3 linked regions of the Lepisosteus oculatus genome follow. The protein of the gene in region 1 purifies or fractionates together with the protein of each later gene. This does not show direct contact. Links are inferred from orthologs where the notes say so. Each region holds a gene or a part of one and is shown in the gene's direction. Other genes may lie near its edges. The genes, in order: fgfr1a, ribosomal protein S6 kinase alpha-3 and CD44 antigen-like.

What was found.
Region 2: the proteins of fgfr1a (region 1) and ribosomal protein S6 kinase alpha-3 purify together in Homo sapiens (affinity purification with mass spectrometry; 4 studies listed by BioGRID and IntAct, with this or other methods). This does not show direct contact. The link is inferred for Lepisosteus oculatus from reciprocal best matches to the Homo sapiens genes FGFR1 and RPS6KA3.
Region 3: the proteins of fgfr1a (region 1) and CD44 antigen-like purify together in Homo sapiens (affinity purification with mass spectrometry; 3 studies listed by BioGRID and IntAct, counting the BioPlex papers as one, with this or other methods). This does not show direct contact. The link is inferred for Lepisosteus oculatus from reciprocal best matches to the Homo sapiens genes FGFR1 and CD44.

Annotation. Positions count from the first base shown.
Region 1 is NC_090697.1:72,340,653-72,350,549, reverse strand, and holds the start of fgfr1a (fibroblast growth factor receptor 1-A), read left to right. Parts: upstream 1-5,318; 5' UTR 5,319-5,335; intron 5,336-5,362; exon of another isoform or gene 5,363-6,069; 5' UTR 6,070-6,133; intron 6,134-8,085; exon of another isoform or gene 8,086-8,143; intron 8,144-9,897. UniProt on the Homo sapiens protein: Tyrosine-protein kinase that acts as a cell-surface receptor for fibroblast growth factors and plays an essential role in the regulation of embryonic development, cell proliferation, differentiation and migration.
Region 2 is NC_090700.1:4,620,301-4,629,790, reverse strand, and holds the start of ribosomal protein S6 kinase alpha-3, read left to right. Parts: upstream 1-5,421; 5' UTR 5,422-5,615; coding exon 5,616-5,900; intron 5,901-6,114; coding exon 6,115-6,231; intron 6,232-7,566; coding exon 7,567-7,648; intron 7,649-9,490. UniProt on the Homo sapiens protein: Serine/threonine-protein kinase that acts downstream of ERK (MAPK1/ERK2 and MAPK3/ERK1) signaling and mediates mitogenic and stress-induced activation of the transcription factors CREB1, ETV1/ER81 and NR4A1/NUR77, regulates translation through RPS6 and EIF4B phosphorylation, and mediates cellular proliferation, survival, and differentiation by modulating mTOR signaling and repressing pro-apoptotic function of BAD and DAPK1.
Region 3 is NC_090716.1:14,172,587-14,183,012, reverse strand, and holds the start of CD44 antigen-like, read left to right. Parts: upstream 1-5,680; 5' UTR 5,681-5,937; coding exon 5,938-6,007; intron 6,008-10,426. UniProt on the Homo sapiens protein: Cell-surface receptor that plays a role in cell-cell interactions, cell adhesion and migration, helping them to sense and respond to changes in the tissue microenvironment.

The DNA of each region.
Region 1 (9,897 bases):
GGAATACCTTGTGGGCTGAAGTAGGCAATGCGTTTATCAGTTAATGGCCCCGTTTCAAATATGGAAGCTCGTTTTTTACGTGTGCTACCATTGCAGTACTCACTTCTTACTAACTTTTTCTTTTTAGAAAGATGCTGCTTGGGGATGTTGAGATGCTGCCGGGACAGCTAACTTATCCTTTCCTCTTTCTCCTGAGCCTGAACAGTGTTGCTCTGGCAAGTGTGCACAACTTAATGACCACCGAAGGAAACATTAAAACAGGAGGGCACACATGTGGCTACATCACTAAAGGACTTAGAGCAATACTGTGCTGTAGAGTTAAGAGAACACTGGTTCAAACTGTATGCCATTAGCCAGCTGGGACCATATCCCCATGTGCTGGGGTCAAGTTAATCAGGAATTCATAGGCAGACTATGGTTTCCTGTACAAGACATATGGCCTCCTAAAGAACAGGAAAAACTGAGTTTCCAGTCTCCCTTTAAGTATGCAGTATTATTAGAGAGAGCTGCATCCAAACTTTACTGTCTGAGAGAGCTTCCAACATGTTAGATGCCCCCTGGCCTCCAGGCCAGCCAGTCCCCTCCGCAGTCTTTTAGTAGTGCCCCATGCCCCTCTAAGTTCCCTGTACTGTGTTAACAAATCAAGCAGTTCCAGCATCTAGCCAGGTAAAAACACTTGCTCAGGGGGTCCACAACAGGCAATAACTCCATTAGAGCTTCACTGACGCACTGGCGAATAAAAAGATGTCATTAAACACTCAGGGCACCAGGCAGGGGTGTGCCATCTGCAACATTCTTCTGTTACCTCCGGACCGTATACAGAGGAAAGTCTGGATGACCATCACCCCCAGTGCCTTCCCCACCTCTCTCTCTCATGCTGCTCATTAGCCAGCCTTGGGCTGTTTCACACCTCATTGCTACCTCTATTTGCTGCAGTATTTGCTGATAAGCCCTCTTTAGTAAGTCAATGGGACCCATTCAGAACATTCTGTCTGCTTTCCAGGGCAACAGGGCAGATGGCAATGGACAATTAAAGACATTTATTTAAGCTTTTTTGGCGTTTCGGAAAATGGCTGTAAGCAAATACTTCTATTCTTTGAAGGAAATGTATATGTGGCTAGAAATAATTTCTTCTTCAGATGAGAAGCTTGTAACATGTTCATGTTTTTCAAGATGGTTTACTGGTCCCTGTTGATTTATTTTTGCAGACCTACAAACTACTCATAGTTCTCTGGGCTCTGAACAGCTGCCCCCACACCAGAGGAAACTAAATGCAATTTGTGTGTAAATGAAGTGTTAAACGTGCCTTAGAAATGTATTCCATTAGTACTTTATGTGTTATAAATTTTCTTTGGAAAGTGTTTTCTGGTGTTTTTTTAACGATTTTCAATTAATATTTGGATTTTCTGCCTTAAATTACAAAGCAGTGCATGTAGAACTATGAACCAGTCAAAGAGGGCTTTATTACTTATGTTTTTATATTAGTAATATTTATAATGTAACTGTGGTAGATTGCAGAAATGTGTGCTGACATTTGTAAACAGCATTTCTTTCTTTGCACAGTGACTGGTCCCTGAAGATTCCATATTCTTTTTTTACCTAACTTTTTAAATTGCTAGTTATTTTTTATTATTATATTTATCAATTTTAGAATCTCCAGTTGTGTGTTTTTCACGTCTGGACTCGTGACTACGACCTCTGACACTGCACGCTTGTAAGAATGAGGGGGCGCAGTCAGACTCCTCCACACAGCTCGCCGTTGAGTCCCCTGTCTTTACCACGTCACAGGCACCCAAAGGTCACTGCTGGTTGGAGGACAACTGCATCCCTCGCTGGCAGCGTCCGCTAACCTGTCCGTCGTTATGTTTGCCAAGAGCCGGGGGAGCCCAGACTCATTAATCCCACCCTATCCTGAACTGCGCACAGACCTCACGTATCTCTTGTCTGGGTGACGGTGACGTCAAGCTCTGTTGACATCAAATTCCCTGAAGCTAAATAGTGACAAAACAGAACTTTTACTGGGGGGCAGTTAATGCCTCCTGGAGAGCTTCACAGTTATCACGGACAGCTTATCCGTTCAGGCATCAGCCTTACTCTGGAAACTGGGAGTCGCACTTGGGCCTCTCCTGACTTTGGCTCCGCACGTGAAAAATTAGACTAATATTTTCACCTAAGCAATATTGCCTGCATTAGATCATTTCTATCAGTGTCCGATTGCTGAGGGCCCGATTCATGCATTTATACCATCGAGGCTTGATTTCTGCCACTGTTTACTCTATGGGCTCCCTAACACTCTTCTCAGTGAGCTCCAATAAGCCCAAAACTCTGCAGCTAGACCTCTAAGTCACACCAGATCTCGGCAGCATATCACTCCTACACTTAAATCTCTACATTGGTCGCCTTTAAAATGATGTATTAAATATGAGATCTTCTAACTTTGAAGGCTTTAAACAATCTGGCACCATCTTACATCTCTGAGCTCCTCCATGTTTACACTCCTGTAGGCTTTGGTCTGTTGAGGCTGGTCCTTTGCTCACTGTACTCAGGACTAAATCTCTCACTATTGGTGACCGTGCCTTTTCTGTTGCAGCTCCATCTATATCTATATCTATATCTATATCTATATCTATATCTATATCTATATCTATCTATATCTATATCTATATCTATATCTGATTGCACTACAGTCAGATTATTGTGTATGTTCTTGTTTTAATGTCTTGAAAGCCACTTTATAAATAAAAGGAAGAATAATGGATGGTTTAAATGCCTTCTTCTTCTTAGGTGAGCAGGATAGTTTATAAGGAAGAAGTAGAGGTTCATACATGCTGAAAAGAGAAGAAAAGAAAGACAACTTTTTGGCTCTGGACTCTATTATAGGTGTGAACTAATTGAACTACTTAAGGCCAGGATAGTTTATAGCTCAGGATAGTTTCCAACTTCTAATAAGCAAAAAAAAAAAAGAATTTGCTGTCCTTTCTTATGCAACCTCTTTCCCCTTCACATGTACAGTATTTCATCCTGCAGTTTGGTGACATTCCTCTCCTTGACACTCTTTTGTTGATTATTTTATTTAGTATATTTTATGCACAGTATAATACGCTTAATGAGAAATAATTTTACCATGCGTAATAAAACTGTAATTTTCCTATTATATAGGTGTGACTTTAAAATATGCTATATATAACGTCATAAAAATATTTAAATTATAGAATTACACACATAATATATCCTTCAATATAAAAGATATGTTTAAATATATAAGTGCTCTTGAAGGATAAAATAACTTGGCTACATCTGGCTGTGATGAAGGTCTGTAAAACGAGTCCTGTCTAGTATCAGTCACTCTAATAAAACATCTGGCAGAGGCGCACATACATCAAAACGTATTGAGAGCACAGGAAGACTGCATTTGGGGTTATTATCTGGATTTAGTCATATTTTAAAAGGCATGTGGTAGTGTCTGGAGTTTCACGTTTCAATTTATAATAAATACTTTAAAGCATGCGGACAATGCGTGCCACTACCTGTTCGAAACGGAGAAGAAATTCACGTCAAATACAACGTATACCACAGAGGTATGGTGCTTCATAATAGCAATGCTAGCACGATCGAAGGGAACGGGTTAAAAAACTTAATCCACAGATTAAGGTTCTTATCTAAATGTAAACCCCAGTTTAGGCTTTTTTTATCTGTACTTTAGACTTGGTCTGAATTTTCAAAGTGAAAATTTTACTTATACATAGGCCTGGTATCGCTAAGAGTCAATGTATATTAAATTGAATTGAATTGTACGTGTGCATCATCTCATCTTGATGTACGACTGTTGCAGTCGACCTCTTGTAAACTGTGCAAAACAGCCTTGGACCGTTTAAAAATAATGAACTCGATGAGGCAAGTAATTAAACAGAGCCACTGACACAAACTATTACGGAGCCGTTTAGCGTGGTTAATAACTGAAAAAAGGTTAACCTCTGTTAATACAATTATTAAACATCGCCGGGTGGTATTATAATTATTAAACATCGTCAGGTGGTATAAATATAGCATACTTGATATGTTTATCTTTGTGGTTCATCAAAGATTAGGCACCCGAGATGCCTGACATGATTGTAAGATTCGAATAATACGAAATGAATGTGTTCATTCAACCTTGTTTCATATAATGCTAATTTTATCTGAGTAGCCTGGGTTACTGAACGGAACTGGCTTCCTGTAACGGTTTTTGTTTAATCAAGTTATCAAGTAAATTAAGTTTCGATCAACAAATTCGTTGAACCTGTCGCCCTCGGCCTCAGCTGTGTTGTTTGCAAAACCGACCGATGCTCAGCTGCTTTTTTAAGACGTTTCTGGTTTTAACACAAAAGTATGAATGGAGTTTTATTCTGTTCTATTATTCTGTTGTTGCGCCGAAGTAGTTTTTAGTGACAGAACATACCATATTCAGTGAGAAAGTACATACAATTTTTAGTAAGAATATATACAGTTCCTTACCCTCTGTATATTTAACACGGTGGCGTTGCCATCCCGTATTTGACCCTTATGTTGCTTTAACTACATTTTTAACTACATTCATACACATTTTTGAAAAGGGTGGAGCTTCAGCAATGCCAAATAGAACAACATTTTCAGAGAGATGTTGATAAAAAATGGTCAATCTTTTATAGAACGTCTTTTTATACAATACTTAAAATGCAGTCTAATTCCTTTGATGTCAAGATGCACGAGATTATGCTGTCTGTATCAGCATTACAGTACTGTATTTCACGAAGAGCAGTTTCATACAACCACATCCGATAAGTTAGTTTCTATAATATTTAAGATTATTAATGACATTTCAAACAAACTCCACGGTGGCGCAGTGGGTTAGCATAGCTGCATTTCCCCGCTGGGGCCCTGGGTTCATTTCCAGACGTGCGGTACTGTCTGTGTGGGGTTTGCGTATTTCCCCCGTGTTCATACATCTAGCTGGACATGTGATAAGAAGAAAAATCAAGAAGATAACTTCAATCTAAATTACAGAGGTCTGTGAGAACACAGGTAACAAAACTCACTATAATTAAGATGTAAACAACATTTGTGAGCCTACTTCTTCATATTATGGACGTGAGAAAAGTATTATAGAAACGAAAAACGTGGATACTTCGCAGTTCGTCGCTGAACGAATCACCATGCGCAGGGTTTGGGTCATATACTGAGTGTATATGCCGAATAGTTCGGCAGTATTGACATGTTGGTTTACTTTTCCGCTAAAAACTACATATCCCAGAATGCCAAGCAGAGGGGGTTGAGTCTCACTTGGGCATGGAGGTGTTGGAGGATGGCTCGGAGGCAGGTTAGCTCAGTCGATGTGATTATGTATTCTCCGTATGATGGTAGGGGGCAGGTTTCCATTAGTTCGGCTCTTGTTGTTTCTGGAGCGTTTGAACAGTAGGGGGGAGGTCGCAGACAATCTGCGATGTGAATGAGTTCGGAGGAGCGAACGAAATAAGGAGATACAGCGTATTTAGACACGGGGCTGAATCATCAAGCTTTTATGTATCAAAATTCATTTGACTTTCAGCCTGAGTAGCTCAGGAGCTGATAGGAGCCTATCTCAGACGCTGTCTTAAAAAGTTATCTGGAAGACGGTTATCTTTGTGGGAATCTGGCTTCTTTCAAACAATAAAGAAGTGGAGCGCAGTTTTTTTTCTCCTTCACGTTATCACCACAAAAAAAGGTGCACGGCGTTTCATGAGCTTCTGCGAAGATTACTTTTCCCTCTCCAAACTTTGCGTATTTACCAGCTGATTTATAGGGGGGAAATACGATATTTTCTCCTGTTAACAGAAACTCGTAGTTTGGCTGTTCCGCGGCTTTGCTGTGATCTAATCTCAAGAAGTTTTTTTTTAACCTATGATCTGAGCTCTGATTTTCAGGAGAAGAAAGCTACTTGTCGATTCGTCTGGTTCTCCTTCCCCGGTATTTGCTAATTAACTTTGCGGAAGGCATTTGCTTTTTTTGGTACATACCAAGCCAGTTGTTTGGTACTGGATCTACAATAATGCAAACTTTCTAACGTCTTATAAGGATTCAGTTTCTTCTCCGTGAGAATCCCGGCGGCGCATCGTCTTGGAACTACTTGGCAAAAAAGGTAATTATTTTTGGAACTATAACTGAGTGAGAAAATATCTAATTCTAATTCTGATGTCAAGAATTTGTCAAAATCCGTAAGTTTTCATAATTTTATGAGCAATTTTTAAACACAAACTCAAAATACAAAGGATATTTCTGCCCCGGTCCAACATATGATTTTTATGTAATTCTGCAGTTTCACACGTTTTAAGAAATAGTGCGAATATAATGTGTTTCGTAAATATTCCCGTAAGATGCACGGAATTTTTTGAGTCTCAGTGGTTTTCGTATGCTTTGTAGCCTGAAGCTAATATTCTTGGAAAAAAAAGAGTTCTTGTGTTTTGGCTAATGTCCATCAATGCCAGATGTAGAACGCGTAATGAAACAGAACGTGCACTGCTTATTTAAGTGGTATAAATGGTTTTAGAAAGAAATTCTGGACTCCACAGTACCTATTTAGTTAAACCCGTAAAAGAAATGCAGTCATGACATCCAGCCTAAGAATTAATCTTGGTTAACACAGGAAAAGTGTTAGCGGGTGACCGGACTGTTGGTATTCCCTGAGGTGAGAGATACTTAACACGTTAAATTCGAAAAACGAATGCCCGTCAATAGCCTTGTCTAAAGTAAATGCAATTTAAAAACCAAACGCTGTTACGTTCTAGTGATACATCGCGATTTGTTGGTACGGAAGACAAAATACTGGGAATTGGAACTCATTTGGTTCAAAACGAGTGTCGACTAAGCGCGTTTGGACAACCCGTTTAATTTTTATTGCGAGCAGGGGGTTCATTGTGCCGTGTTTAACTTTCGTTGAAATGATCTGGCATATCGAGGTATCGCCGGCAACGAATGAGTTTTTTAAAGGCCAGTTTAACGGGAAAGTCTTTTTTGGGGGAGGGAGGGGGATGCCTAAGACGTTTCAGAGCCAGAAAGAATCATGGAAAATAGCAGTCAGGTTTTTGGCTCGCGGGACGGTTAACTAAAGAAGGGATTGAATTGGAAACTTTTTTTTTTCCCCTAGCTTGATCTCAGAACTGCGTTTCTCTCGATATCCCCCGTGACGCTGAGTGAAGCGCCTGGCCTTTTGGCTTTTGTATCCATTTGTTCCAGGCGGATCACAGGCATTTCACACGTTGCCTTGTGGACCAGCGTGGTGTCAGTCGCTCGCCTGAGGAGTCCCAACACTTGTTGCGTTTGGTCACTTGAAGGCACAGGGCTCTAGCAGAAGTGGGGGGTGGGGGTTATGAAGGCAGTACTGGGCTAGTAAGTCATTTAATTTAATTTTTGTTAGTATGTTAATTCTAACAGCGCCTCAGCCCTCACGAATGACTATTACAGCGGGCCGTTTCCCTCCACATTTAACGAGTAGTAGAAGATGGATTTTACAGAAGCGCGTCAGCACTGTAACGCTTCTACTGTTAAAACTGAAAACTATCGCCGGAGGGTCTGTTTACCTACTAATGTTTTATCTCTTAGTTTTTTTTTCTTTCTATAAGGATTAAACGAGGAGGAAATGTTGTAAAAAGGGCTTACTAACGTAACTCTAAGGGGGCAATGACCAAAACGTGCCCTGAAGAAAACAGTGAAAAGGCGCTTTGACCCGAGTGAGCTAAATATGAGTGACCAACGCCGACAGGGCCTGTATTACAAACAGATGACCAAAACACTCTTGATGTACCCTTGTTGTGTAAACACTGCATATCAATTTATGATATGTTGAAATCGCAAGCAAAGCCTGGTCCATTACACGGATTTCGATCCCTTTTAAGTGTAAGAGCAGTATCAAGGTGTAATTCTTAAGCGTTTACTGTTAAGATATTGAAATCTCTAAGACTGTCAATGATGACCTTATCTGTTTTGTTTTGTACGGTATTATAACAACGCGTCGTGAGTCTGACGTGACAAGTAGCGCGTCTTTTACCAGGTTTCTGGCGAACTTTCTGGTGGTTTTCAGTAGATTTCGTGGGGGAGGGGACGGGGGTTTGAAACTGAATGACGCACCGAAAAAGGGTCGAACCCAGGCATGGTAATGGGACACCTTTATTATTTTTAAAACTAGACGTTTACAGTGTTGATGATCTGAGCACGTATGTACCTGATACCTTACCAAAAGAGAGCCTATGTTATATTTTAACTTCAAGTCCTTTCCATTTGTGTTCATATGTCCATTGGAATCACTAACTGTATCAGTTTTCAAAATGTTTTCTACTACAGGGTCTTAGTGAGACACTGAGCATTCACACACAACTTAAGTTGAATAATCTGTTGTCATGCTCACAACCAATGATGTAAAGCTTTAAAGGAAACCTTCAAGAAAAGTTACCGCGAAGGGTTTTATAAAAGTCTTCACATGCAGTTTTTTCTCCGTTTCCTTTTTTAACTGAAGTCTTTTTGAAGAACAATCATTTCTGTGCATATCAGTTCCTTTTTACGGTACTGTTCTGTGCAGGAGAGATCTGCCTGGAAAAGTCCTTTGGCTTGGCGGGACTTAATGACCTGGACAGGTTTCTGAGGATTTTTTTACCATCATGTTTCTCAGTTTTCCAGTAAGCACAGGACAAGGACTTGTTTTAATGACAGTCGACATAGGTTTTAGGTTGAGATAGAGGCATTTTAACAACTGTACTGCCTCACGTTACTTTTATTTGTAAGGGCACGTCCGCACACGCAGCAACTCGCCTAAAGCTAGGCTTTTAGGGGAAAAGGTTTATGCAGAGATGACAGATTTTGGTGTTTTAAAACTGAAGTGTCCAAGTTATTGTTCCTCCTTTTATAGATATTGTAGCTGAGCGTTTCTTTTTGGAATGCAGGATACAATTTGACGGTAATAACCTCACAAAATTACTTAAAAGTAACAACCACGTGCTTTTGTCTAAGCTGAATTTCAGGTGAAGAGGGCGACGTTTGTAATTATTTCAAAGTGAGCAACCTAATGACTAAATAGCCACGGCTGAGTTACATTTTGAAGTATTTTGCCGTGTTTGTCGGGTGAAATTTATTTTTAACAAGCGCACTTGACTGAGGTGCACAATGTGTGTGACGTTCTTTGATCCAGTCTCCGGGTAATAGAGCTGTGGAAGGGAATGTGTAACGCGTTTTTCTTTCCTCTTCGGACATCTTTTAGCTCTTTGGATTATTGCGTCCGTTCAGTTTGTTTGGCGAGCGACTTTGTCGTCAACGCGCCCGGCCGATCTGTGAGGCAGATAGCGCAAGACCTTGCACGCTGCACACGGTTTACAAATAATTCTGATAAGAACTTACTAGACAGCAAATACCTGTTGACGACAGACATTTTTTTTATGTATGAACAGAATTCAGAATCGTTTCTAAGCGATTTGTTGCGTTGCGAAAGGTTCTTGAAAACCAGCTGCAGGGCGTTTGTTTTGAATTTCCAGGCATCAAAGAAGCCGATTCACCTGGCCAGAGGGGAAAGAGACTCTTCACACTTAGCCTTGCTTGTTTTCTAAGCACGTAAAAACACGATTTCTAGTAAGCCAAAGTTTGTTTTTGTCTGCTTTAGTCTTATAGGTAAAATAGATCTATAGATTGTCTCAAAGTTGAAACTTTTCACAAAAATATTCAACGGTATTCTGGCAAAAGTACGATGGTTTCAAAACTGAATCATAATTTTCACATTTCTTTTCTCGCATAGGGCTATTGAAATGTAATTTGTTGTTGCCAGTGTTTACCTTAGATTGCAGTGATAAATCTTCAGAAGTTTTTTTTCCTACGATTTTACAAGACATAACATATAATGTGTATAATGCACACTATATCTTT
Region 2 (9,490 bases), on another chromosome or scaffold:
CTCTCTCTCTCTCTCTACTCCTCTTCTCTCCCTCTCCCCGTCCTCCGCGCTCTCCGTTTAATTCAAACAGCCGCGGTGCCCTGGTTATTGCCCTCTCAGGATCGCTGCGTGATGTCAGGTTCGGACCGCATGCCCTCCCTTACAGAAAGGACAGTTCAGACGGCTTACCAGTAAACCCCGGGGAGGAGTGGGGGGAGGGCGTGTGCCGGCGGAGAGGGCACGGTACAGACGGCACTGTAACTTCAGCAGCTGGTCGGCTGGGAGAATCTTTTAATCTCTTCCCGACATGGCGGGGGTCGGCGGATTAAGTCGAAACACCCGCCCGAGTGCCTTCCCCTTGTGGGGCTCAGTTACAGGGCGGGCAGGCGAGCGCGCTCTGGGGGCCCCGGTGCTGCGGATTTTCTTTGTCATTTTGCAAACGGCGAATCCGAGTCGCCGGTGGAATTCAGCCAGCCCACAAGGATCGCCTGCGGCCGGGCGATGTCCGTCTGTCTGCGGCAGAAGTTCGAGAGCGGCGGCGGGGTTTTCCGCGGGGAGCATGTGAGTGAGATTATGGGCGTCGGCGGAGGGAAGGGTGCTGTGATGGATCGGGTCATGTGAATTTCTGTGGGTTTTGACACACTTTTCAGGAAGGCTCAGACAGGGTTGAGCCACTCGCAGTGCTGCTGTAGTTCAGCATCCGGGATTGGTTGCTCACAAGTCTTGCACTGAATTCCCAGGCGATCTCTCTTTTGCTGGTTTCATTTGATCTTTTTACAGTCCGCCCTAAACCCTTGTTTCTCTCTAGAAACGGAAGTCTTCCTGTCGCTTTGTTTACACCGTGGACTTTCATTTTCTCCTCGTGGAGAACTCGGTTGGCAGGGGAGGTGGATTGATGCTGCAGAGGTGACAGCCGGCGCCGGTTGAGTCCAGCGCCTGAGCAGACGCACCGGATGGTTAGGGCTCAGCATGGAGGAATAGGAAAGTGGGTTGGGCGCCCCCTTTTGTGGCACGCACGGTCCAGCTGTTTCTGGTGCAGCTGGGTTGACTTGGGTCAGTGATTTGTGAGTGTTTGAGTTGGGTCCCCGTCGTAGTCATCTCTGTCCAAGACTAAACTCCTTCGGCCTGTCAGAGGCGAACGCTCTCTGTGGGGCCACGGGTGTATCTGGTTGCTCTTCCCTGGTCTGGTTCCAGAGCAACACTATCTCCCATGCCCGGGTTGTGTTTCAGTGCCTCTGGGCAGACGTTTCAGAGTTGTGATGTTAAGGTTTCCTCCGGGAACTCGGGCTAGAGACCCGCGGCTCGCCTGGGGGCTGGTGGAACCATCTGGTTCAGCACTCCCGCGGGGCACGGCTGCAGCCATTTCAGTGGGCATAAAAGAACTGCTCACATGGGCTCACCGTTCTGCTTAGCAGCGTTTTTATTCTGTCGGGGCTTTCTCGCGTGTCCTGAAAATGTCGGAAGTCAGCTGAGGTCAGCGTGTCGGTAGTCCGCTCCCTCTGACTGCAGCAGCTCTTTTCAACAGTCGTTTTCTGTCACACCTTTTGGCTTTTCCAGTAGTCTCAATTTGCATTTGGCAGGTTTTTACAGGAGCCCTTTAAAACATCAGTTTCTAAAGGCGTGGAACAACTTGATCAAATAAACAGGTGGTTCATTCAGTTCAGTCATTCAGAGATCATTGGGAGAAAACATCAGCTCTCAAGGATCAGTGTTCCCTTCGTTGATACTTCACTTGCTTGACTGATCAACTGCCTAAATAAGTGTCCCTAATCCTTATCAGGTCATTTAAACTGACCTGCAGGAATAATGGAATTGGGACCAGGGTTGGGGACTCCTCGTCTGTACAGAATATGCAAATTCTTCAATCCTCCCCTGAAGCTGTTGATTGTGGAAGATGTACTACTGTAGCTTCCTGCATGCCTGCCTGTGCAGAGAGGCACGTCTGTACGAGTTCTGAGCCCAGCCTGTCATCACTTCAAGAGAACAGAGCTCATGCGGGGGGCCTCAGGGTGGGCTTTCCTGTGTGGCTCCTTTTTACCAGGTGATTGCTGGTCCCTCGTTTTCCTGAGCCGAAGGATGTCTGCATCGCACATCTCTACTTCCTCTTGGAAGGGCAGTCACAGCAGAGTTCAAAATGCAGCTGCTTTTTGGCCATATTCTTTCTTCTTTGGTTGTATTGCCCAGATATTCTTTGTCCTGTGCTGGGTCACTTTTTTTTTTAATTGAAAAAAGCAATTGTAGTCTCATGTTCTACCCTGCGTATCGGGCATCGCAGGCCATGGTACAGAATTTTGAAACAGCATGAGATAGGTCACGACCCGGATGTTATTGACGTATGCTGTATTGGAAAGATGCCGTTTTAAAGAACATTTTCAGCTTTACCGGTTTGAGCTGCAATTCGTTTTAAAATTCCATAAACAGGAAGCAGAACAGCTGGTCCTGGCAGAGATGAGGTCTGTCTGTTACATATTCTGTGATCTGTGAGTCTCGATGCCTAACGAGGTAGAGAGAGACAGGTAAACGATCCTGCTTCTGTCTTTCTGCAGGACCATCTGCCGACAGAAGAAACTATTTTTTTAAACAACAAAACAAGATTTGGAAGCACGTTTTAGTGTATTGTTTTTGCAAGCATGTCAGTTTAGGTGCGTTATTCTGTGTGAATCCCAGTCCCTATCAGGGTAACTTGGTGAATAATTTCATGAACCGACCATGCGATAAAGTTTTGAATTGAACCTTTCTTGTGCACTTGACTAACAACATGCAATGCCCTCTGTCAGCTCCCAGAATAAATGTTTCTTCTTAAAACAGAAAACACACTCTGGCATGACGTTTTATTGTGCAGAGGGTGGTCCATTCCTGCCTGTTGCTCGAATGGGTTCTGACATGTCTTTAGCGGAGTAAGAGAACTAATCTTCCCAGTCTGACACTTGCTCTGAAAATGATTAGCCCAAGGTCACTTCTCGTCAGTAGCTTGGCTGCACTTCAATAAACGCCTCAGGGCTGCCAGCCTGCCTCTGTTAAGGCTGTAGTCCAGTCTCCTGAGTCTTTCTGGGCCTGTCACCGGTTCCATCAGCAACTGCTCTTGGGGTGACAGGAGACTGTAGCAGGATCTCCTCTGAATCCGCTGTGCCTCATGGTTGAGACTTTGATCCAATCAGCATCGTTGACATTGTTGAGTGCTCCAGAAAGGTCAGAGGTCAGACACATTTGTTCTTACTGGACTTTTTCTGGAGGAGGAGAGTTGCAACTGCTAGCAATTTTCCCTTTTGCGTCATTTCCTAGGGATGATTGTTAGTGATCAAGAAGTATCAGAAGAGCAGTCAGGGTTGTTGTGGAGATGCATCTAGTTTTTATTGGCAGCTGAGTTTTTGGAGGAAAGGTTTCATTTGAACTGGTTTCCCCCCACAGGCCAAAAACATATTGGTAGCTTAACTGGCTTCTAGAAGAATTTGCTCTGGTCCGAGTGCGTATGTGTCTCTGTTCATGTTTGCGTGTGCCCTAGAATAGACTGGCATCACATCCTGAACCTTGAGCCCATTGCTTGTGGAGTTAGGCTTCATCGACCCTGAATTGGATGAAACGGGATGGGTGGATGGTCTCATTAGAAAATAAGCTACATAAGGGATTCAGGAGACAAACCAACTGTCCTGGCAGTTCTCTGGCATGGAGCAGTGTCGATGGGTCAGGGCTGGAGTCTGAGCTGCTGAATTTCCAAAGTACTTGCATTTTGCCTGGTCTACAGGAAGGATCCTGCAAATTCTGTTCCGACTTCTAGACAGGGTGACGTCTAGTGAAAGTGAAACCTCCTGAGGCCAAAGGCCAGCTCTCCTCACTGCGTCACAGGTTTCCCTTACTGACCACATGCAGGCTGAGACCTGCCGAGACGAGCACCTCCCCCCCCCCCCCCCCACTGCCTGAAGCAGAGTCTCTTTTTAACACTCCAGATTTATTTTGTGTGTCTGATCGCACCAGCGCCAAGAGCCGACGCGACTGCGTGACACACGCTGACATTTCGCTTAGACGTTCACATGCTGCATTCGAGCCTTGTCTCCGAGACCAGACGTGTGATCCCAGGAAAGATCGGAGGCATCTGTTGTGTTACTGTTGTGTTTCGCAGCAGCGGCCCTTCGGAGATGTCGTTGTTTTGCGGGTGGGTTTGTTTATCCGTCGCCTCTCCGGCTTTTGTGCAAGGCTTGAACGTTCCTCGGAGAGCAGCCTTTTTAATTGAATTAGCACTTAGCCGCTCTGTCGCGGAGAGGGATCGGTGAGCGCCGCGTGTGCGTGGCGGAGCGGGTCCGCGCCTCTCACTTCTCCTCTCCGCTTCCCGGCCAGGCCACACATCCTGGTGCGTCTGCTGCGCTCTGCCCTGGCAACTTCCCCTCCTCGCGCGGGAGACGGGCTCCTGCCTCTCTGATGGCAGCATGCTTGCGCTGCTGACAGAATGCAAACCGTATAGGCTGTCTCTGGGACTGCAGAGGATGGACAGGAGTGTTGTCGTCGCCTCTCTGTGCTCCTCGTGTGAATATCAGGTACTGTGCTTCTGCCAGAGGTCTTCTCTGCTCGGCGTCGTAGATGAGTTTCCGTGCGTGTCCAGGTTTTTTTTCTTTCCGTAGAGCCAATTACTGTAAGGTGCGGTATCTGAAGTAAGGGTCAGTGTTTTTTTTTAGATTAATATTTAGCTCCCACGAGGAGCAGCCTGTGTTCGCTGAGCGATTTCCCACATAAGATACTCGTTTGTGATTAACCCTTCACCGGTTCTGTGCTGTTACCCTGTGCGTGGCTCTTTTATCATGAGCGCTGTACAGTGGGTTGAGTCTAACAGACTTCTCATTTTTATGATTGAAATGTGGCCTGCTCTCCCGGGGATTAGTTTCACATTTACAATATGCATCTGTCCTAAATTGACTTCTTCCACATTCTCAAGGTTCAGCTTGACAAAGATGAGCTTTGCCTATTGTAAGGCTCCCTTCTGGAGTCAGATATCCATTTCCATTTATTGGGGAAAAATCTCATCGCTGAGGATGAACCTCTGAGAGCCTAGTTTAACGAGTGTAGTTCCTGGTTGTTTCTCGTAAGAGTCATTCATGCGCAGCGCACTGATCTGCAAACTCTTTCTGACGCGAGAAATGTCTCCTGCTCGTGCTGAGCATCTACAGATCACACCTTTTGAGAGAGAGACAAGTGTTTTGAGATTCTGTGCTTTTGTCAGTGTTCTGCTCACACAAGTCTCTTATCTCAGTACCACTAAGAGCCCTATAGTATCGGCTTCCTGATTCCGAAGGCATGCAGATGCCGAGATCTCCAGGTTTTTAGCCTTTTCCTCGGGGTTAGTATCTTTGTAGTTATTTGTCAAGGCTGCGTCGTACCTTTTGAAGTCGAAGCGTGTATAAAAAAAAGTTCCGGTGGCAGTGGGGGGGGGGCATTGTGTGTCTGATGAGGAAAGTGTGCAGCGTGACTCAGTGCTGTAGCTGTACGAGTGCAGTTTCGGACTTGGAGGTTTTCCCAGCGCAGGCGGGTGGCAGAAGGGAGACAGGAAGAGGAGGGGAAGCAGGAGAAGGCACAGCGAAGAGTTAACGAGAGAGAGAGAGAAGCGAAGGGCCCTCTTCCTTAGTCACCTCCTCCACTCCCACCTGCTGATGCCTGCGAGAGGGGTAGCATGGCAACAGTGTGGGAGCTGTCAAACGCGATCCTCCCCTGCCTGCAGGACTGCACACATCGCCGCCACAGCTCGCTGCCTCCATTACAGGCAATGGAGGATTCGGCCGCGCCGCCGGGCCCGCGCCGCCCGGGCTGTCCCGCTTCCTAGCCCCGCTCTCCTGCTGCCCCCCGGGGGCTGGGTGCTGATGGGCATGGGTGATGCTGTGGCACAGAGCAGCTCGCGGGGCAAGACAAAGCCGTGGGACGGCGGGACGGCCTATCACGTATGTGGGGGCGTGTGGGAGCGCCCGTGGTTGTTGGGGCGGGGTTCCTGGAGGGGGGGAGAGGGGAGAGGGGAGAGGAGGTAGGGCAGCACGTGCGAGGCTCGTCAGGCCTTCCTATTCCTGCTTTCCTCCCACCTGCTTTTAACACCGAAACGCGCTGGGCTGCCTTGAGCCGGGAGCTCACCCTGCCTTCTCTTCCCTGACTGTCGTCCAGGACGAGGGGCACGTCAAGGAGATTGCCATCACCCACCACGTCAAGGAGGGCCACGAGAAGGCCGACCCGCGGCAGTTTGAGCTGAGGAAGGTGCTGGGCCAAGGCTCTTTCGGGAAGGTGAGTGTGTGGGGGGGCGGCGGGGAGTGGGCTGGATGTGGTTTTAGAGAGAAACGCTTTGAGGACCGAATGCGTGTCTTGCAAGTGCACGCAGTACACCCTTTTATTTTTACTGCCTTTTTCAGGGACAGATAGGTTTCAGTTGAGGGATCTAGTCATGCACAGACCTGGTAATGGCGGGTACTCGATGGCCCTCAGAGACCACCCTGTGAGCAATCAGAAATAGATTAAGTGTGAGCATTGTTTACAAATCATTTCAACCATTGGACATGTGCAAGGGAATTGAGTAGGATTTTCAAAAATGTTCTTGTCAATTGCTTTGTTTGGATATGTGTTACAGCCTTTAAGGCTGGATGGGTGGCATGCATGTGACCCTTGACTGATTTTAGCTGTGCCCTCCACTGCTGTAGTGTGAGCTGTGTGATGAGCATGGAGATGAGCATTCTCAGCTAGTGGGGGCATATGGTAGTTAATATGACTAGGAACAAGTAAAGGTTTATTCCATGCTGAAAAGAGAAGAAACAAAACGCAAAGTTTCAGCTGTGGAGCCTTCTTCGGGTGTCAGTATTATTAGTCTTTCTTGGCTGGTGATAGCCATGCATGCCTCGTGTACGTTTTTCAGGCAGTGTGAGGTTTTTGCAATTGGACCTCTTCTTGTTTGTGCCGAGCTGAGTCCTGGGGCATCTGTTTACTTGCGTCTGGTGTCCTGAGCCCAGATCAGGGATCAGAACATCCTATTTGCACTGTTGCAGCTAACTCTGCGGATTTGCCTTTTAAAGCGTGCGTGCTTCGGCAGGAATTCGGCAAGCATGCAGCGCTAATGGCTGGCCCACAGTGGCGTCTCTGTCTCTGCTCTCTGGAGCTGAAAGGGCCCTTTATTCCAGGAGCATCACCCCGTGTCCTGCCTGCCTTGTCAGGGGGCCTGTGCTCGGATGAGAACTCATTAGCTGATGCACCAGTGGAGCGCGGATATGCAAGGTGAAGGGCATTGTCTCGGGGTGCTCCTCTGTGCCGTGTGGGTTCCCACCAAGTTCTCATGGGCCCTCCGGCGGTGACCTTAGTGCTGGTAATGACCTCTGAGCTCCACTGCCCCTCAAAGCCCTTCTCCTCTGCCGCCCAGCCTGGAGAACCCATCTAGGCCAATTTGTCTGACTCTCCGAACGATATTATTAATCAGCTGATAGCATCCAGTGCTCCTGTACACTGGTCTACTGGGGCTGCTGTGTGAGAGAACCTAGTCCAGCCTCGAGGACGTCAAGTGCTGAAAGAAGGACTCCCCACCCCACTTAGGCCATCTCTGCTGTGTCTTGTAACTTCTGGACTTGTCCACCACAGGTATTCCTTGTGAAGAAGATCACGGGCCCTGATGCTGGACAGCTTTATGCTATGAAGGTGCTTAAGAAGGCAACACTTAAAGGTAAATGTTTTCTTACTGTCAGAAATCCACTCATCTTGTCTGAGACACAGTCATGTCATGGTATAAGCAAGCAATGCTCTAAACTTATATTAATTGATGAAGTTACAATTCAGTGTCCTGAATTGTGTCCTCAGTGTTTTTGAATCCAGAGTTTTAAAGCAAGGCCAGACTGTTCAGGCCTTTAGTGCTGATGTATGCAATTTACGTGATCCAATATATCTTACCCTGTTGAGGCTGATGTGTTTTTCTTCAGAATAATGAGCATTTAATTTGTTTGTTTCTGAGGTTTTTAATCGGCATTTCAAACTTTTAAATATTGTTGTGGCAGCCTTTATAAGTATGGTATGGTAAGTCATTCACATAGAAAAAGGGTACAGAATTGTACACCTCAATTGTGGCAGCTTTCAACAAAAAAGCTGCAATGCCTCTACATTTATAATTTGATCTTTGTTCTGGATGTTATACCTCCTGTTAGCAATATTAAGCCTCTCAGTGCCCAAGGAACTGTTTCGGGTGTTTACTTTTTGACTACAGACTGATGTCAGCCCGATCCTCACAGCGTGACGGTGTATTTGTAGGACTCACTGCACATCTCCAGGCCAGTGCACACACATGCCTACAGTGCTGTCTTTGTGCACAGCTCTTTGTTTCTGGTCATTATTAACATCATTTCTCAGGGCAACACCCCCTCTGTTTATACATTGTGTGTCTGAAATAAAGCCTTGTCCCATATGTGGCCTCCTTTTCCCAGGCCTTTAATGTTTGAAATGACAGGAAGCTGCTTGAACTAGAACCTCTCAGACAGATTAATTATAGACTCCTGTAAGACAGAATGTTACTTCCTGTCTTGGTATTTGCCACAGTGTTGCCACAAGTCTTAATAGATATTGTGCTTGTGTCTGTGACTCTTCTTAATGCCTGATTGCATCCATAATTGCCTGATCACAACTCCAGATGGAAAGAGCCTTTCTTCTCCCAGTCTCTCCTTAGTGTTGCTAAGTACTCTTTGGAATCGAGCACAGCTTCCACTGTGGAGCGGTTTGGTCCTTTTTTGTGTTTAAGAACCGAAATCTCGTGCTAATTACACTAGCAAAGCAGAAATGCAGTGTGTTGGAAGTCAGCTGAATGTCGATCATTAATGTCATGTTCAAAGGAACAAAGAAAGTGTTTTTTTTTGGCTTCTGCAAGAGTTTGCAGTTGCTGTGTCCCCCGAAATGAATTATATCTCTGTTACTCCATTCACTACTAAGTTGTTCTGCTGATGTTTTTATCCAAACCTGCTTAAATTATACCCGTAAATACAGCTGGGCATTTTACTGGAGCGGTCTGATGGAAAGACCCTGGCCAAACATAAAACACTTGGGATCTGCCCCTCCAAGCTGCTGCCATCTTGGCACAGTTTAGAAAAGCTGTGGAGAGTTTCCTGCTTCGGGGCTGGATAGCCTCCACATGCTTTTTCTTTGTCCCCTGGTTTCTGGATGTCTCTTCTGGCCATGCCGAAGGAAAGTGCTGATGCAGACAGCAGTGAGCTCTGCTTCAGAATCTTTGACACAGCGGAGTCTGGGAATCGCTCTGAATCGGAACAGCTCGTAAACAGCCGGAGCCACAGCAGTCTGCGTCTGGCCTTAAATTGCTCTCTGTACTCATTTATTGTCAGATCATTAAGGTTAATCAACATCGGTGAATGCAGTGTCACTAGCAATGCAGCATGGTGTTTATTCCTTTCGCAGTACAGCGCTGCCCTTTAGAGGGGTCAAGACAGAGATGGAAGGAATTCCCTTCCGGCTTCATAAAGCACGTAAAAGCACTTAATATAAGAGTCTGTTTTCAGCAGCTCTGGGT
Region 3 (10,426 bases), on another chromosome or scaffold:
GGACAGTGCTTGTGGAACACCTGGGGTCGCGGCCCAGCCTCTTCCCTGGCCCAGAGATTCCTTGTGCAGTTATATTCTAAGGGTGTAAACGGTGCAGAGAATCAATTAGCAGGCATGGTTTTTCAACTACCACACCACAGGGGGACCTGCCACAGAGACCCAGCTGAAATCATTGTTGTTCTGGCTATGAAGGACAAAAGTATCACCTGTAGTCCTAAGTAGTCCTGTGCTTCAGATCCACTGTAAATACCTTTCACATGATGCTCAGTGGTAGGTTTCATTTCACTAGAATTATTCTTATGGAAATAAACAGAAAAATATAAAACAGGCACATGTTTCTAAAAATATACATGCATTAATTGAATCCTGCTTAAATCAGCTAAATAATGAAATGCTAAATTAAACAATGCACATTTATACAGTTTAAAGTAAGAGTACTTTCACAGTACAGTATATAAGTTTCATTTTAAAAATAACCATCTCCACATAAACTAATTATTTTTTAATCCACACCTACTCTCTTTAGTATGCAGATTCAAAAGATATGGCTGCATTTGCACTGAGGTAGAATGAGGGATGTGAAAAATGAAGAATAAAAAGAGGAGATCTAAAAGCTGAGACAGGAGCAGGTAGGGCTCAGTAACAAAAGCCACAGCATTGAATCAATCACAATGCAAACAGGATGTTCTCTTTGCTTTTGCCACAGTTATTTTAAAAAGCTGTTGCTAGGATGATGACAGAGAAAGGCAGTTGAGCCAGAATGATTTCTGTCTGTTCCTTGTGCGCTATATTAGGTGTATAAACTAGCTGCCTAATTTTACCGTCTTGTATGTCAGTAATTACTTCATTGATTACTTACTCGTTTTATCAAAATTCTATTTAAGATCACTCTATTGCCTATTCTAGTTTACCAAAACTATCGCCGTGAGTATTTTAAATCACTTAGAAGAAGATTTACTCAAACATTAGGACCTGAAAATGTGCAAAAGGACAGGCTCTAGAAAGTGGCATAGAGATACTATTTTACAGTATTGATTTATTTTTAAATGTAAGGCCTTTAAGTATTTTATAAAATCCTGGTTACTCTCTGGTTTCCTTTTCAACTCTGGTTTCAACTTTTAGAACATTTGTATAGGAGTAGTTTAGGACAGCTAACCAGTCCTATTCCAAAATGTCAACTGAAAGGTCCGTTGCGCGTTCTTGGGTAGACGAGAAAAGAGAGAAAATGAAAAGGTCAGTATGTAACACTAGGACTCCATTTCAGAACCAAACCAGAGACCCTGTGACATAACATAGTACTGTATACTGTTTAGTGCACTAGACTATGTCCCTCCTATTCACATCATTTGGTCTTAGGGTCAAGCACTTTTTCAAATAATAGAACATGACTCTCAAAATGTAAAAACTTTGCAATTAAAAATTATTCCAAAATTTTCAGTGAGGATAGGGTTCATGAAAGAAGAGCCATGCTGTTATATAGTAATTACAGGATCATGCTTTTCTTGTTTCAGTAATTGACTTAGTTTTTAATGAAGCCAATGTATTCCCCAGAGAAGCCATGTGCAGTAACCTGCCACTTGTGTCACTTAGTGTTTCATTTCATGTCAATATCTCTCTCTACCTGAAATAATGCTCCCCTCATACATAGACTCATTGTACTCACATTGAAAGCAAAGCAGACACTCTAATAGAAATATGCCTGGGATATTCAATGCATTTCTATTTCCAGAATGCATGACATGCTTTGCAGTTGGCTTGAAATTTAATGTTTGATTTCACTTCTTTGCAGGACAAAATATTCTTTGCAATACAGGACAAGAAGGGCTTTGATAATTAATATGATTATTTAACACATTGTGTTTAATAGAAAGGTGAAGTACACTTTACCTTCAATGACATTTTGCTCAAGAAATGAATATTATAAATATAAGACATGCAACAGTAAACTCGGGTTTGTATTTATCCTTGTCTCTCCTTGTCTCCTTGACTATGTCAGGAATTTGATATATCAGTAATGATGGAGTACTCAATCTCGAAGAAAAAAAGAGTTCAAGGGGACCTGATTCAAAATCTTGGAGAGTGCTGGAAAGTCAAGCCAGTGGACTTCTTTTAAATCAGCTATGACACTTAAAACAGATGACACAGATGGAAACTAATGGAAAAATCAAATTTAAAAAAACCCGTAAGTCTTTTACAGAAAGGGTTGTGGTTTTCTGGAACAAGTTATCCAGTCATGTTACTGAAATCCAATTGTGTTGCTTCTTTCACAAAGAATCTGGATGACATCCTTGGATCTATAAGCTACATCTAGTTAGATATTTGGTACTGAATTATCTCTTCTTATTTGCCAACTTTCTTATGTTGTGTGTCTTTATTTTAAATAGCCTTACCTATTATATTGTCTTATACGTCTGCACTTTACTTGATGAATTACTTAATTCATCCTTAAAATGACACCCAAACTAAATAAAAGAGGCAAAAAAACAAAAGAGAAATACAAAAGTATAAAATACACAGAGAAAATACAAAACAGACCTTGACCAGCTCTGCATTGTTCAGTCTCAGATTTCTGGAACTCTATCTGTGTGATGACAATAATACCCACTCCATTTAGACTAAATGTCTTCACTTGAAAGTGATAAGAGTTAATGAAGCACATTAAGTAAGTATTGCCTTGGTAGGAATGCCTAGAGGTCTTGACTATTATTGTGCCACCCAAAGCCTTAGTGATTCCACCTAGAAATGCATTAGTTTGCCAAGATTGGAGATTGGGGACAATGAGTGTTTTTAAATTGACCATAAATCTACATACAGTAACTATAACAAAGGGCTAATGGTTCACCTTGACCATGTTGGCATTCAAATGCAAAGAGCTTCATTGCTATGACAGATGAATCATGGTATTGACAAAGAGTAACAATTTACACAACATTAACAGACATTTCCAGTAAAAATGTTTTAATGAAAATCCCACTCTCTGATCCTCAGGCTGTGCCAGAAGACCACGTACTGGGCTGCCAGCTCTATTCAGTTTTCCCCCTCCTTTCCCAGAAGAATTGGAAGCTGTCCTGATTCTAGAAGGAGTGTTATTTCTGGGATTAAAATAATTATTTTAGGGAAATTCCTCATGAAACCCTCAGCGATTATAACTCACACTCTTACAATTTCCAGGCAATCCTTAATAATTACATGTACAGTATTTCAAAACAGGAGATCAAGTAATATGCATTACGCCATTTTCCCTTACAATGCTAGAGTGGTTTGTTTACAGTAAATATTAATCAAAATAAAAGACTTTCCTGAATCTCTGGCACACTGGGATCGATTAGCCAATGGGTCAAATGCTGGGTTTACAGTTTCTAACATCACCTTCTGGTGGTCCAGATTTTTCTTTTCCTTAGAATCACGTTTTTAACAGATTAAAGTGTTCTGGCTTGCTTTAAACAATTCTCTTTCACACTTTTAAAATACAAGTCTGTGAAAGTCATTCTTGAACTGGAAGAAAGCCAGTTTGAATGTTATGTGAAGGTGATCTGCACAGACATAAAAAAGTAGACAACCATCTTCTGGGATTACAGATGTTTACACACCGGACGGGTAATAAATAATTGACTTCATTTGTATTTATAGATGTTTTCCACCAATAGTGGATGTCATTACGAGGAGCCACAGAGGAAGACTAAAGAATCCTCTCTTAGTGGAGAGGTGCTGTATCTTGTGAAATGTTTTTAAGTTTGTGTCATTTACGCATATAATCTCCAGCAATGGGGGGGACTCAAGCAGTTTAAAGAAATATTCACAGTCTTAAAATCACAGGCAGCTGTTGAAGATCCTAAATCATACTGGCAAAGTCAACACAATCTTTAGGATGAGCACTGAAAAATTGACCCAGGCTATTCTTGTGAAGGGCTGGGTAACCAAATCAAGCTCCTCAGTCAGCATAAGTGGTTACTGAAGGTAACGTGAAAAAGTCATAATTTTTTTGTTTTAAATTTATTTTTGTGTTTGATTCTGACCATGACATTGTTCTTTAATATCACGTTTTAGGTGACAATTTTTTTTTCAATCTGGTGACTCTAACATGACTCTTTCTTTCCACTGCCTGGAACTCAGCCTTGTAGCTGCCAACTGCTACAGTACATGTACATGATAATCTGTATCCAGGTGGCCTGTAACAGACCCAGGGTCTGGAGTTTGTTAAACTCCAGAAGATGTACTTAGATTTTAGACCAAGTTAATAACCCTCTTATCAGTGCCTCCCAGGATAAAATACCTAAAGACTAAAGGACAATCCAGAACCTTCTTTTTCCACATCATCATGGTCAGTCATGGTGTCTTGGATCCACAGTGATTTAATTTCTCTATTGGGGAATTTGTTTTTTTTCTCTCTTCCAAACCCAATGACCTACTACTTTAAGTGTACATATAAAATCTGATCAAATTTATTAAATGTGCTTTTGTTTTTGGTTTCTACTAAGTGGAATCTCTGCCTCTTTTATTTTTCAGGTATCTGCTTCTGATAGTGATGGTTAACTAGTGTGTAAACATCTCAAAAAGCTATTAATGATCAACACAAAATTAAATCAACTACCTTATCAGACTTGCTAGTTCTGTGAATGGATAATAAATATAGTGTGAGAAAAAGACAAATACTTTTAGATGTTATTTACAACTAACACATAAATCTCACACATAAAATACAAGTGCTTAGGCAATCCCTATGGTGTGAATTTAGGTACTGTATAAGTCTGTTGTATTAAGGTGTAGTACTGTTTGTGAACTTCCAAGTACTTACAATCCACAGTTGTGCTAAAAGCCTCCGTCTGTATCTTTTTGAAACTCATTTAGAGATGGCAGAAAATGCAGAGGTACCAGTCATTTGTCTGAAAGCTGAATTTATTCTATTCCTAAATGTTTTGTGGTATTCTTATATCACTGTGACTTACTGTAGCTTATTAAATAGTTAATACTGTATTCTTTCTATAAATGATGAAGTGACACCCAATGTACAGCCACAATAAAAAGCACGTAGCACACAGGAGCAGGTTGAATATCATCAGGGTACAGAAACGGCACTAAAGGAGGTGTTGTACAACACAGGAGGAAGGATCAATAATCTACAGGAGTCATCCTGTTTGATGAAAGGGGTCCAGAAGGAGGGAGATGTGGAATGCTTGCAGTTTTCCAGATTTCATTCATTCACACTCTGTGAATGGATGACTATTTCAACTGAGATCACTGTAAAAATAATTGAGGACGCTGGTTTAAGACAGGAAGTGATCGCTAATCAAAATCTGAGTATGAAATCCAAACCATGCAAATGTATTTACTGTATCTCACTTGGACCTTGAACACATCAAGCTGTGAGTAATTTAAAGTTCAATGTCTCAGCTCATATGGTCAAATTTGGTGAATTGAGAGTGATTAAATTGCCCCAGATACTACTCTCTTCAATAACTACTTGATGAAAACAAAGCAAAGAGATTAAATCCGGTCCTTAAAGTAAACATAACAGGGGGAGGGGCTGACAAGTAAAGGAGAAAAAGAAAGAAAAGAATGGGTGAAGTTTTGAACTGCACAGGGCGAGGTGTTTGACCAGGATGACACTCTGTTATACACCATGTGATAGAGAGGGAGGGGGAGTGGGAGGGAGAAATGGAGGGAGGGAGAGAGAGCACCTTTTTGAGAGGACTCCTTTTGTCTGGGTAACATAAATGTGTTGCTACCAGGGCAGGAGAGAGCTGGGGAGAAAAAAGGGTGTGAACGTACCAGCCTCCTCCCTTCACATGTGTCACTGGCTGAGTTAAGTCCCTTCTCACACAGAGAATATAAAAAAAAAGTTCAGTGAAAGTCTCCAGCGGCTTCACAGCTACAGACCGACACAGTCACTCAGACAGCTCAGTGCTCTCTCACTTGTTGGAGACAAGAGGAGAAAAAATGTTTTGGACCTGCTTGCTCTTTCTGGCTTATGGATTAATTGTCTTTCCCAGTTCTGTGAAGACACAAGGTAAGCCATTTTGCTTTTATTTTTTTTTTCTATTTGGAATTTAAATGCTTTGGGCTTTTGTGTGGAGAGCTGGGTGTCTTAAAGCAGGGATGCTGTGACAAAAAGCATGGATTCTACTGCTTAAAAGGGAATGAATGAGAACTGCAAGGCATCAGCTACATAGACATTCTCAGTGGCGCTCAGATATCTGTTGCTGTGCTTGTGTTGGTGCCAGGCTGGCTTTAGTTATGCCTTTGATGTGTCCAGGTTTGCCAGGGACTGGAAACAAAAGGGATTTTTCTGAGGGTAGTTCATTCGAATATTAAATAGCCAATTTATCATTGTCACTCAGTTTATAGCATTTTTATGTTCCAGTATTCAGCAGGTTCGGGGACAGAGCTGCTGAAGTGTTCATACCTGCCTTAGCAATACAAAGACATATAGCATTTCATTTGTTTCCTTTCGAGTATTGAGCGCAGATAGAATTTGGTACCAAAAATCAAACAGGTTGGTTTGATTTTTTCTTCAGCGCCACAGCATCCAGACTGGCAGAGGGCTCACTGTATTGGCCACTGGAATGGTGCCAAGGTTTACTTGTCTTAAGCAGTGATTTTTGGACGGTGGAGGGATGGGGAGGCATCTCATTGAAATTCCTAATGGAATTTACATTTGTTTGGCATTTTAATGCCCAATGAGCTCTGCTGGGATTTCAGCTACTATCTAAAGAGGTCATTGATACAAAAGTCCAGCTGGCTTTCCTTTCCATTAAATGGCAGAGATTTGGATGTTTAAAAAGAAGAATCAGGAGGTGCTGACAATAATCTCCTGGACATTTTGGTTTTGAACTCCAGTGAGGCTGTACTTCATTGCTCACACAATGGAAAAAAAGGTTTCTGCATCTCCAGAGTCACTGTTTTTTTAGACTGAACTTCACTTCTTGAATGAGCTGGTTCAGTTTAGAAATGCTTTCAGAAATTAAAAATGTCTTTGAAAGGTAAATGACTTAGGAGATCAAAGTGTGAATTTCACAAAACTTCCAATGGACATCTCCTGAATACACATTCTAAACCTGATAGATTTTCTAATATTGGTATTAGTAATGTTGGTGCTGTAACCCAGACAGAATACTCATCTACTGTAAGTGATTTTATTGTTGCTTTGGTCACAAGGCACCCAAAATAGCCTGTTTCCACTCAAAAATTATGGTTTTATTTTACTGATGCTTTTTTTCAAGTCACTTTGTATTTTTACCCATTTATAGCACTTTAAATTTATTTTAATTTAGTGTAGTACCTTACTCAGCAGTTAAATAGTAGTGCCCCACCAAGAATATGAATCAACATCCTTCCCAATATGTGTTCTGAGCCCTAACCTAATCACTACTCCACACTGAAGTGTGAGAAACTAGGTCTAAAGTCTTTTACAATTAGTCATCAATCTTGTCCAATCTCATACCTGTACTCAAACAAAGAATATATTACTTTCTCGATAAAAAGAAAGTGTTTTTTTTTCTCTGTGGTTCACCCGGTGAATCACACTACACAAAACAGGCCAAAACAGGTAGGTACGACTCCTAAATGGCCAAAGCTACCAACACTTTTCCATTATGTCAGACTTTGGAAAAGGGAATAATGAAAAGACAAAACATAGAACGAAAAACAATCACATTTTCTGAGAAGTGTTTCAATACTGTTTGTGGAAAATGTTTTTGGGTTGCTCTGCACAGTTACAAAATTTAAGTGAACATTGTGAAAACATTTTGGTTCTACAAATTCCCCTCCATTTCCTGGGTAGTACTATGTTTTCTGCAAAAATAGTACCTTATCACTACATAATCAATCACACTGAGCCTAATGCCTTATATTTTTCTTTCTTTTGTGTTGTCTTAACTTATCGCCTTTTATGTTGTTTTAAGCGTCTTTTGAATTAGAAATTAGAAGCCATGTGTTAATGTGGAAATGAGAAGAAGTAATTATATCAACTTATATTCAGCATTTCTACTTCAAACACCACCGTCTATATCCAACACACAATACTTGCATCACAATGTTAAAGTCAACACATTCTGTACTAACTTGTTTATGCAATATTCAACACAAATTCACCGAGATGTTTTCTGTGTTCCCAATCTGTATTTCAAAGATGTATTTGTATGTAGGTTCAGTTGTATGAAAACATACTATAACTGTTGGCTATGAACTGTTGAGAAGTGAATCTTAATCCAAACCTATTTCAATGACTGTCTTATGGAAATCCTTGGAAAGACAAAAAATAGGAGCATCAGGTGCTTTACCTAAAAAGATTCAATGTCCAGCACTTTTGACAGACAAGGTGAAAGTACAAATTCTGGAGAAGGAAAGATGTTTGAAAGCCGCTCATTGGGCAGGTCTGTGGCACAACAGCTATCCATGACCTGAATGGGTTGTCTCTTTCCAAGCTTGTGTACCATTCTGTGTGGAGCTCTGCTGAATTTCGGAAGCATTGCCTCACAAGTCACAGTGTCCTGTTGATCATACATGGTTTAATGTTGTTATTATTATAGTAGTGGTTATGGTATAATTATTAGTTCTATTATATGTAGATACAGAGGTGTGGCATTGGTGCATTAATATTTTTTGTACACTGCTTTGAAAGCAATTAATCTGGAACATCTCAATAAGATCATATGACTAGTATTGTTCACAACCATTACGGAGTTCAAAGGATATTACCTCCGAGTACTGATCAGCTTGTGGATGCTTAGTCTGTGGAAAATGGGGAAGTACTGCATGTATGAGTAAATATGCAACATGCTCTGAAAGTTATGGTTGTTTCACTATATCACCTATAGTGAATAGCAACATCATTAGTTATCATCAGGAGCCTCAGTTCAATTCTGGTAAATGTTGTGGTGAAAAAAAATAAACATGAAGATGTAGGCTCAGAATAAGTCTGTTAATGAGCAATTTGTGGAGAATACTTGTGTAGTATGTCAGAAATATGTGTGTACACAGGATATCATATGTGCTGAAGAGCATTCTTTGTCAATTTCCATTTGAGTATACCAATCTTATAAAACAGCCAGAATCCAAAGGCAAGGTTCTTGCATTTTGTTAGACACTGCTTGCTGAGAGCTCACATTTCAAGGTGCTTTTTTTCTAAGTGCCTAGCCAAGGTAACAAAGCAGACTTTAGGAAAATCACCAGTAGCTGAGTCATTCCTCATGAAAGCAACATACACACATTCGCTTGGTAGTCTGAAACCACATAAATGACCCACTCTAACAGAATTCCTAAAATCCTGTGCATTAGATTTTAAGCTCTTTTTTGGTTTACGGTCTCGTATTTCTTGCTTCTCTTGATTAAAGATTCTGATCTCCCTTCAAATGGACTGAGATGAAAAAATCTCTTTCATGTTCTTATCCATAAATTCCATTAAGTGTACTGCAACATTTAGAATTTTTCTTTAATGCCTCTCTTCACTTCATCCTCACAAACATTTTTAAAATGCTGCTTTATAGAATCTTAAAGACAAATACTTAATGCACATTAAGCATCAAGAGGCTTTGTATTATCAATCTGTGCTGTGCACATGAAATGCTAGACTGTCTTCTGGTTAATTCTCAAGTTTAAGCACTGTACTGTATGTGGTAATATTATTCTCACCAATAACCTAACATTGTACGGCCTTGTCAAGAAAAGTAATTTTGTCAAAATGTTACATTCATAAGACATTCAAATGTTATATACATAAGACCTCAGAAAGCCTCACATTTATATTCCTTTAATTGTCTTTGGATATCCTCACACATTTAAAAGAATACAAAATGACCCTGTTATGGCTATCAAATTAAAATATACATAGATATATAAACTTTTTGATATAATGTGTTATCAATCACTTCCACTGGGTTGTTGTGGCTGGTTGATAAAAATAAAATAATATCAAACTTTGTTCTGGGAGAACATGCCTTTGTAATGGCAAAGGTGATCCTTGGAAGCTCAGTGCAGGGCAGGCTAACCCATTTTAAGGAATTATAAAGATAATGCTGCATGTCATTAAAGAATGCTGACATTGTTTTTCTTTCATTGCCACTGCATAAAAAATGTTTTACTCAATGACCATTAACTTTGTAGAGCGTTTTGGAATTTGCCCGCTGGGTTTTTGCCCTTTACTGTAGTTGTTCTAATTTACTGTGAATAACACTATTCTTGCGATCTGTATTAATGAAGCCACAACAAACTGTATTTTATTCTGGATAAAACATGGTGTTCAAGTTTGCATGGGTCACATGTCTTTGAAATGAGGACTGCTTGTGTTTCTTCCAAAAAGTCAGCTCAGAGCTATTGTGGTTTTGTGATGACATACATGAAGTTCACCATGCAGACAATAACAAAAAAAACTTTATGGAGAGGCCAGGTGTCTGTGTGAATATAAAACTGGCAATCTGAGTAGAACAAA